Linked DNA regions of Caenorhabditis elegans. The protein of the gene in region 1 interacts with the protein of each later gene in a pairwise test. Each region holds a gene or a part of one and is shown on either strand. Other genes may lie near its edges.

The links.
Region 2: the proteins of C47E12.2 (region 1) and gap-3 interact in a two-hybrid assay, tested with the Caenorhabditis elegans proteins (one large-scale study listed by BioGRID).

The regions. Positions count from the first base shown.
Region 1 is NC_003282.8:10,001,153-10,005,167, reverse strand, and holds C47E12.2 (ADP/ATP translocase), read left to right. Parts: upstream 1-1,665; 5' UTR 1,666-1,708; intron 1,709-1,821; 5' UTR 1,822-1,830; coding exon 1,831-1,980; intron 1,981-2,039; coding exon 2,040-2,249; intron 2,250-2,299; coding exon 2,300-2,521; intron 2,522-2,568; coding exon 2,569-2,679; intron 2,680-2,728; coding exon 2,729-2,898; intron 2,899-2,945; coding exon 2,946-3,003; 3' UTR 3,004-3,194; downstream 3,195-4,015. Other genes in the region: sars-1 (putative serine--tRNA ligase, cytoplasmic), read right to left, coding at 1-1, 60-1,109, 1,151-1,320, 1,378-1,414; C47E12.3 (alpha-1,2-Mannosidase), read left to right, coding at 3,354-3,356, 3,405-3,524, 3,567-3,703, 3,747-3,826.
Region 2 is NC_003279.8:2,007,502-2,012,551, reverse strand, and holds the start of gap-3 (SH2 domain-containing protein), read left to right. Parts: upstream 1-2,026; 5' UTR 2,027-2,072; coding exon 2,073-2,132; intron 2,133-2,294; coding exon 2,295-2,387; intron 2,388-2,453; coding exon 2,454-2,548; intron 2,549-2,592; coding exon 2,593-2,722; intron 2,723-3,781; coding exon 3,782-3,964; intron 3,965-4,985; coding exon 4,986-5,050.

The DNA.
Region 1 (4,015 bases):
CCTATAAACAAAAATGTATTTATTAAGTAATCGTTTAGTATAATAAGTTTTATATATACCTCTCCACTCAGTTTCTTGGTCTGTCCATATCGAACCTTGAGTCGCCGGGATTGATAATCCAAGCAGTTAGAGCACGAAACAAGCTCACGATAAGCTCCAGATCCTGGGAACCAGGCTTCCAAATCGAACTTTTTCGCGGCAGCATTGTTGAGTTCTCCAGAGACAATATTGACGACTTGGTATGGAATTTGAAGCTCCTGGTAATAGCTCTCTGCATTTCCAATCATCTCATCGAAGAGTGTCCATGATTCATTATCGTTGGGACTGCACAGAACGAATTGCTCGATCTTTTCAAATTGATGAACACGGAAAATACCGCGTGTATCTCTACCGTGACTTCCGACTTCTTGTCGGAAGCAAGTGGAGACACCAGCATATTTGATTGGAAGCTCAGTCTCTTTGATCCACTCATTTCGATGATAGGCGGCAATTGGCTGTTCAGAAGTTGCAATCAAATACTTCTCGTCGACAGATGTATCACCTGCGATTTCCGATCCCTTCGAGCTGACCTTGTAGAGTTCATCATCGAATTGACTTAGTTGAGCAACTTCTTGCATGACCTCTTTCCTCATGAAAAATGGAGTATATAGTGGAACGTATCCCTTGACATTGAGACGTTGCAGAGCTAACTGAATAATAGCTTGCTCCAAGAAGACAAGTGGGCCCTTCAAGAAATATCCACGACCTCCAGCAACAACTGTTCCGCGCTCTCCATCAAAGCCATCAACCATCACAACCAAATCAACGTGTGAATACTTCTTCTTGGTGCTTAAATCTCCGAAAGTTCTCTCAATTTTGTTGTTAGCTTCATCTTTTGATACGACGACACTAGAGTGAATCAAGTTTCCGATTTGAATGAGCTTCTCATGGCGTGCATTTTCGTTGGCGATGACGGCAGCTGCAGTTTGAACAGACTTCTCATCGACAAGGACTCTGAGCTTTTTCAGTTGAACAACGGTTAACTGAGACAGCTCATCAATTTTCAATTCAGCAAGACGTGCGACAATGTCATCAGCAACGGAATCGTCTGTTCCTTGTGGTTCCTTCTTCTAAAAAAATCTTTGGTTGACACAAGTTAGAGTTAACTGACCTTCATTTTCTCCCCAATAGCTTTAGAAATAGCATTCTTCTGGCGATTAAGTTGATCAGCCACAAATCTCTCCTTTCTCCATTTCTCATCCAATTCAATCACTTCGTCGACCAACTTCGGATCCTTGAAACGGTCCTGCTGCGACTTACGAATGATTTCTGGGTTTCCACCTTAACTTCGATACTGTTTTTCAACTGTTGGCAATGTTTTTAATGATTGACACTTACCCTTTTCAGTACGGAACATGTCAATGTCGAGAACCATCTTGAAAGCTCAACAAGAGTGAATTACCCTGAAAAGCACGAATATATTCGAAAGTATGTAAGCAAACAAAATTTTCTAGAGGATAAAATAAAACGAAAAGCGTCACATAGACGAGAGATTTGGTAAAATTTCGTAAGATTTCAGGCCCGGTTCAGGTCAGTTTAATGTCTGCGATTGCTCGTCACATGTGATGTTTCGTGTGGCAAAGGGTACGGTGATGCATTTGATTTGACGCCAATTACTTATTATTGAAATTTGGATTTACTTTTTTATTTACGTTTTAGTCATTAGAAAGTGAGTTTTTTAGGTTTATTGTTAACTTAGAGAGTACATAATTAAAATTAATACAAATCGGTCGAATATAATACAATTTATGAAGAATTTACTGTTATTTGCGTCATTTCCAGGAAAGCTCGATGAGCACGAGTGCATCCCTTTCTCCAGCAGCTTTACAAAAGCGATCAGATGCTCAGAAGTTTGCTATTGACTTGTTAATTGGCGGGGTTTCAGCGTCAGTTTCAAAAACTGTAGTCGCTCCTATCGAACGTGTAAAAATTTTGCTCCAGGTAAAATTCTCATAGTCAGTGTTAATTCAAAATGATTTTGTAACAAACTACGTTTACAGGTTCAATATTCGCACAAAGATATTCCTGCTGATAAGAGATATAATGGAATTATCGATGCATTTGTTAGAGTTCCCAAAGAACAAGGATTTGTATCATTTTGGAGAGGAAACATGACAAATGTTATACGTTACTTTCCAACTCAAGCTTTTAATTTTGCATTCAATGATTTGTACAAATCGATTCTTCTAAAAAATATGAAACGGGAAAATGTAAGTTTTTTGGGTGAAATTACATTTGTACTCTAATAATATTATTTCAGAACGTGCTCTCATACAGTGTCAGGACACTCGTCTCTGGAGGACTTGCTGGTTGCTCTTCACTTTGCATTGTGTATCCATTAGATTTCATTCGTACAAGGTTATCTGCTGATATCAATCATCACACGAAGCGAGAATATAAAGGTCTTGTGGATTGCACAATGAAAACCGTGAAAAATGAAGGATTTAGTGCACTCTACAGAGGATTCGCTATTTCTCTTCAAGTGAGAATGTATCTTTCTTATCTTCGTCCTATTAAAAATTTTTACAGACATACTTCATTTATAGATCTGTATATTTCGGATTATACGACGCTATCAGAAATACTATAAACACGGATAAGAAGAAATTACCATTTTATGCTTCGTTTGCCATTGCACAAGTATGTTTTCTTTTTTCAAAAACTTTATTTGCATTAAAAACTGTTTTAGGGTGTAACCGTACTATCGTCATATTTAACCTACCCTTGGGACACTGTGCGGCGGCGAATGATGGTAAAAGGACAGCTGAGCACATCAAAGGCTTTTTCAGCTGCACGAAAAATTGTCCATGAGGAAGGTGTTCGCGGATTGTACAAAGGAGCGTTAGCTAACATTTTTAGGTTTGTATGAGGATTACATATAATGTTCTTTAAATTTATGGTTTCAGAAGCGCTGGTGGAGCACTTGTCATGGCACTTTACGAAGAGATTCACAAGCATATGTGATCGAGCAAAATTGGACCGAAACACATTTATTCACCATATAATAATTCTCAACCTTAGATTCTCATCTAGCGATTTATTTTTGTATATTATTCTGAATGCTTAGGAAATTGTTTTTTTTCTTGTTAACCGGTTACCTTCTGCCATGAGGATCGTTTTTTTGTTATCCTATTGATAAAAATTCAAAATTTCGGAGGAGAGCTGACGTGTCACTATTCTATCAAACGCTTGTCGCATGCATTATTTCACTCGTTTCATCGATTTTTATTATTTTCTATCAATACTGAAACTGGGAACTGGACAAAACTACTTATAATTTAGATTGAACAAATCGAACGCAGTATGGTATTAGTATGGTGAGCTGAAATTATCTTTGGAAAAAAAAGTTAATTAATAAATTTCAGAAATTTGTCAAAAATGTGTTAATTTTCATCGCATTGTTCTCTACGACGTGCTCACTCAAAACAACGAAAAATCCATTTCTTTTAACGAAGGAGGAAATAAAATATGCGTCAATTTCAGATGTATGTGTGCATCTAATTTGTAACTAAAACTATAACTGACAGGTGGATTTGCAATATGGATTGGCAAAAACACGCGAAATGTTTCAATTTGGATGGGATAACTACATGGAACATGCATTTCCAGCAGATGAATTAGATCCAATTCATTGTAGAGGCCGTGGACACGATCATGATAATCCGTAAGTGAGCAGGAAAAGAGAGAGGTTTCAATAACAGATTCAGAGATAATATTAATGTTAACGATGTGCTTGGAGATTACTCGTTGGGATTAATTGACACTTTGGATTCGCTTGTGGTTTTTGGTAAGTTTGTTAATTTTTTTCAAAAGTTATTATTAATTGTCAAAATTAAAAAATGGAGTATCGTCAGTGGAAATTTAGTCTAAAAATACTCATGATAGCCCAACATGTCTGATTATAACAAACCCAAAATGTTTAGATTTTTTCGAAAATTTAATTCAAAGTTTTGGTAATTGTCAAATGTTCCAAAAC
Region 2 (5,050 bases), on another chromosome or scaffold:
TAAATTACCAAAAAATTTTCCACGGAGTTCTGGTCTTCCTCGTTGAACTTTTCGCGCTCCATTGACAACCGCCTGCCGGATAACGCGTGGGAAAGTCGTGTACTCCACACGGACAAATACATTTAGTTTTACAACTAAAATCGAGCCGCGACGCGACACGCAACGCGCCGTAAATCTACCCCAGGTATGGTAGAGCCAAGATGGCCTAGTTCGGCAAAAACTCTTTTATTTCAATATATGAGGGAAGCCAGAAATCCGTGAATTTTTATTCAATTTTTTTTTTCAAAATTTTTTGTTTCAAAAAAAAAACGAAAAATTTAAAACAATTCAAATATCCTTTGAGGGCGGTAAACTTCAAAATTTAAAAAAATTTCTCAATTTTTGAATTTTAGGTTATATAACCGGTTATAAGAATTTAAAATTAAAATTCTTTTAGAAAAAAAAATATTGCAACAAAAAAAAAAAAAAAAACTTCCTCCGAGTAATAATAATTGGCAAAAAAAAAGAAAAAAAGAAGAAGCCCGGAGGAGCAGGAGCTGGTACTTGTCCCATTAATTTTCCTTTTTTTCTTCAAACAATAAAAAACAGCTGAATTTTACGGCAAAACTGCTCTAAAAATGTAAAATTTCATTGAAAAAGTAGGCGCAGCCAATACACCATGTGGTGTTTTGGCGCTGTCTCCACACGCAAGTAGTGCCAGGGGCTGTCCCAATACGGTTTGATCTACAAAAAATGCGGGAATTTTTCGCCCAAAAAAATGTGACGTCAGCACGTTCTTAACCATGCAAAATCAGTTGAAAACTATGCGTCTCTTCTCCCGCATTTTTTGTAGATCAACGTAGATCAAACCGAAATAAGAGACACTCTGACACCACGTGTACACGTTTAAACTTTTCCAGCTGTAAAAAATAAAATTTTCAAAAAAAAAACATAATTTTTAATCACATGTCTTGTTATCACTGTGTTATCTGTTATCACAACGACAATTTTTTTCACGAAAATTCTTTATTTTTAGGTATTACCCAAAATATTTGAATAAATTCCAAAACTTTCCGTGTTCTCCGTCCTCCATTTCCCACTTTCACAAATGGTCCATCATCCGAACTTCCGGTGCTCTCTCTCTCGCTGTACAAGAGACACAGAAAACCGAGAGAGAGACAGTGATTCGTGGTAGAGACGCAGACACATATACACACACACAGAAAAGTGATCTGGTGTCTGTGTGTGTGTGTGTATATTGTGAGAAAGAAGAAGAAGAAGACTGCGTGGGTGTAATAATATGCGTCCTTTTCTCCCCCCTTCTCTTTCGATTTCTTTTCTTCAACTTTTATCACTTTATTCACAACCTATTTCCTACCGTTTACCACCTTTTTTTTTGAGGAAACTTTGAATTTTTATTGAAATTGTTCAAGCTTGATTCCACGGAGTTGAAATCTACCAAATTCAAATTCCACTGCCTTCCCCGGGTTTTTTTTCCATTTCGATGGGTTTTTTAAAAAGGAATTAAAAAAAACGTTTTGTTTTCAAATTAAAAATTTAAAAAATAGACTGAAAATTAGCAAAACTGGGATTAATCCCACGGAGTTGAAATCTACGGAGTTCACTTTCCACTGCCTCCTCCGGATTTTGTATTTTTTAAACATTTTCTAGTACTTTTCGATGAAACTTTGCATTTTTTCACCTAAAATTAAAAAAAAAGTTTTCTAATTAGCTGAAAACGATAAAAATAAGAAAAAAAAAACATTTGCGGAGTTGATATCTATGGAATTCACATTCCAAAATCAGGCCAAGACAATTAAATATTGTTTTTTTTTAGCTTCCAGCGCAAATTTTCGAATTTCCAAACAAAATTTTGGTTTAAAACTCTAATTTTCTACCTGAAAATCAGGTTTTTTCATCGAAAATCATCGAAAATTAATTAAAATTCAAATTTCCCTCCATTTCCCCAGTACGTACACCGTCACGCAAAATTGCGTACCCGTCCGATTTTTCGCATTTTTTTGAATTTGTTTTCCTGTTTTTTGATGAAAATCAATAATTTTTTGGCATTTTTCAGGTGCAAATGAAAAGTTATGCACTCAAGCGAGAATACTACACCTAACAGCAGCACGGAAGGGCCATTGTTTCTAAAAGTGAGGGCGAAACAAGTGAAAATCGAGGAAAAAAAGGAAAAATTAGAAAAAATTAGAAAAATACCATTTATATTATTTATTTTCATCGAAAATCAATTATATTTACAGTTTAAAATATTCTAAAAAATCCTAAGTTAAAAAAAAGGAATTGTTTTTTCGCAGACTCACACGAACCCAACACCGCCTGATATATCGCCAAACGATGTGTGGTACCATGGGGAATTAAACGAACACGATGCCAATCATTTGCTTCAGGTTTCTTTTGCGAAAAATTACAAAAAAAATGGCAAAAAATGGCAAAAAACCGGCAAAACATTCCAGGGCACATCTCCCGGCGCGTTTTTGGTTCGGCAAACTGGCCAGACGAGATTTTATCTGTCGATATTGGATCAAGACGGCTATCCGAAACATTTACCGTTGGTTTTTAAACATAAAAATTTAAAATTCAAATTTTTTTCAGCATCCGCCAACTCACCCCACCTCACTACTTTTTCGAAGGAAAGCGTTTCGAGACCCTTCGAGATATTGTAGATGCCTATCAGCTGGCTGTGATTCCAGTTCGAAAAGGAGGAATTATGCCGATTAATGGGGTATTTTTTTGCCCCATTACGGTTTGATCTACAAAAAATGCGGGAATTTTTCGCCCAAAAACATGCCAAATCAGTTGAGAACTCTGCCGCATTTTTTGTAGATCAACTTTATTCAAGCCAAAATAAGACACTCTGACACCACGTGTGATACACCATATTTGACGCGCAAATTTTTGCATTATTGGATAATTTGTTGGATTTTAAAGTGATTTTTCAGAGAAAAAAAAGAAATTTATAATATTGCGCGTAAAATAGAGTGTCTTGAGTCTGTAATCGAGTAGATCAAATTTAACGCGCAAATTTAATTTAAAAAAACAATTAAATTACTCCATGTCTTACGAAAACACAAAATTCTGAGAATGTGTATCACACAACATATTTGACGCGCAAAATATCTCGTAGCGAAAACTACAGTAACCCTTTAATTGACTACTGTAGCGCTTGTGTCGATTTACGGAAGTCAATTATTAATCAATAAAATTAAATTTTAAAAGAAATCTCAAAAATGGCAAAAAAATACAATTCTCATTGGTTTTTTCGTTATTTTTTGCCATTTTTGTGTTTTCTTTTAAAATTTAATTTTATAGATTAATAAATGATTTCCGTAAATCGACGCAAGAGCGCTACAGTAATCATTTAAAGGGTTACTGTAGTTTTCGCTACGAGATATTTTGCGCGTCAAATATGTTGTGTAATACGCATTCTCAGAATTTAGTCTTCCCGTAATAATTTATAATTTGTGCGTCAAATATGACGAATTGGTCAGAATATCGATATACACGAATATAAAGTTTTGTAGAATTATCTGTAATAGTAGTAGTTTTTGCGCGTAAAATATGGTGTATTGAGTCCGTAATCGAGTAGATCAAATTTAACGCGCAAACATGTCCACGTGGTCTCATTTCGGTTTGATCTACTTAGATCTACAAAAAATGCGGCAGAGTTTTCAACTGATTTTGCAAAAAATTCCCGCATTTTTTGTAGATCAAAACGTAATGGGACAGTCGCTGGCACCCCGTGCATGCCGGAATTTTAATATACCATAAAATTTGTTTCCAGGAAATCCAAGAAACCAAGTACCTATGCGTTAGACGATTCGAACAACGCGAAATCGACGAAATGAACTCGGAAATCGGTGATATTCTGTCAGTTTGTGAGACCGACGAGACCGGATGGATGTTAGGACGAAATGAGACGAGCGGTTCCGTTGGAATTATTTTAAGATCACATTTGGAACCTTTGGTAGGGAAAAGTAGGAAAGACTGGAAATTTCTAACTGAAAATTTGAAAATTCTAGGAAAAAACTGATGAAAAATTACAATTTTTAAGCAAAAAAATGTTACGTTTTTTTTCACAATTTTCTACAAAAAATTTAAAAAATTAATTAAAAAAGGCGAAATTGTGCTAATATTACGGGAACACAAAATTCTGAGAATGCGTATTGCACAACATATTTGACGCGCAAAACATAAAAATATCTCGTAGCGAAAACTACAGTAACCCTTTAATTGACTACTGTAGCGCTTGTATCGATTTACGGAAGTCATTTATTAATCAATAAAATTAAATTTTAAAAGAAAACACAAAAATGGCAAAAAAAAATTACGAAATGTCATTTTTGAGTTTTCTTTTAAAATTTAATTTTATTGATTAATAAATGATTTCCGTAAATTGACACAAGCGCTACAGTAGTCAATTAAAGGGTTACTGTAGTTTTCGCTAAGAGATATTTTTATGTTTTGCGCGTCAAATATGTTGTGCAATACGCATTTTCAGAATTTTGTGTTCCCGTAATATCTAATGTAGGCTTTGGCGTACCAAATACACTTATTTTGGTACAAAATCGCGGCGAGACCCATTTATAAATTGCCTACCTAATGCCTGCCTGCTGAAAAAAAAAACAAAAAAATTTTTTTTTTTTGGTCCAAGCTGGATTTCTCCAATTTATTAACACTATTTGAGAAAATCGATAAATCTCGATTTTCGGGGGCAGAAAAATCAATAAATTAACACTATTCAAGAAAATCAATAATTTGCCAAATTTTTGGAAAATTCGATAATTCACGTGGTGTCAGATTGTCCCATTACGGTTTGATCTACAAAAAATGCGGGAATTTTTTTTCCAAAAAAATGTGGCTTCTTCAGCACGCTCTTAACCATGCGAAATCAGTTGAGAGCTCTGCCGCTTTTTTTTGTAGATCAGCGTAGATCAAGAGACACTCTACAACACCGCGTGAAATTCTCAGATTCCGTGCTTTTACAGATCACAGAGGTGGCCGATTTGTCGGATCTACCGTACTTCTACGATACAGTATCCACGGACATGGT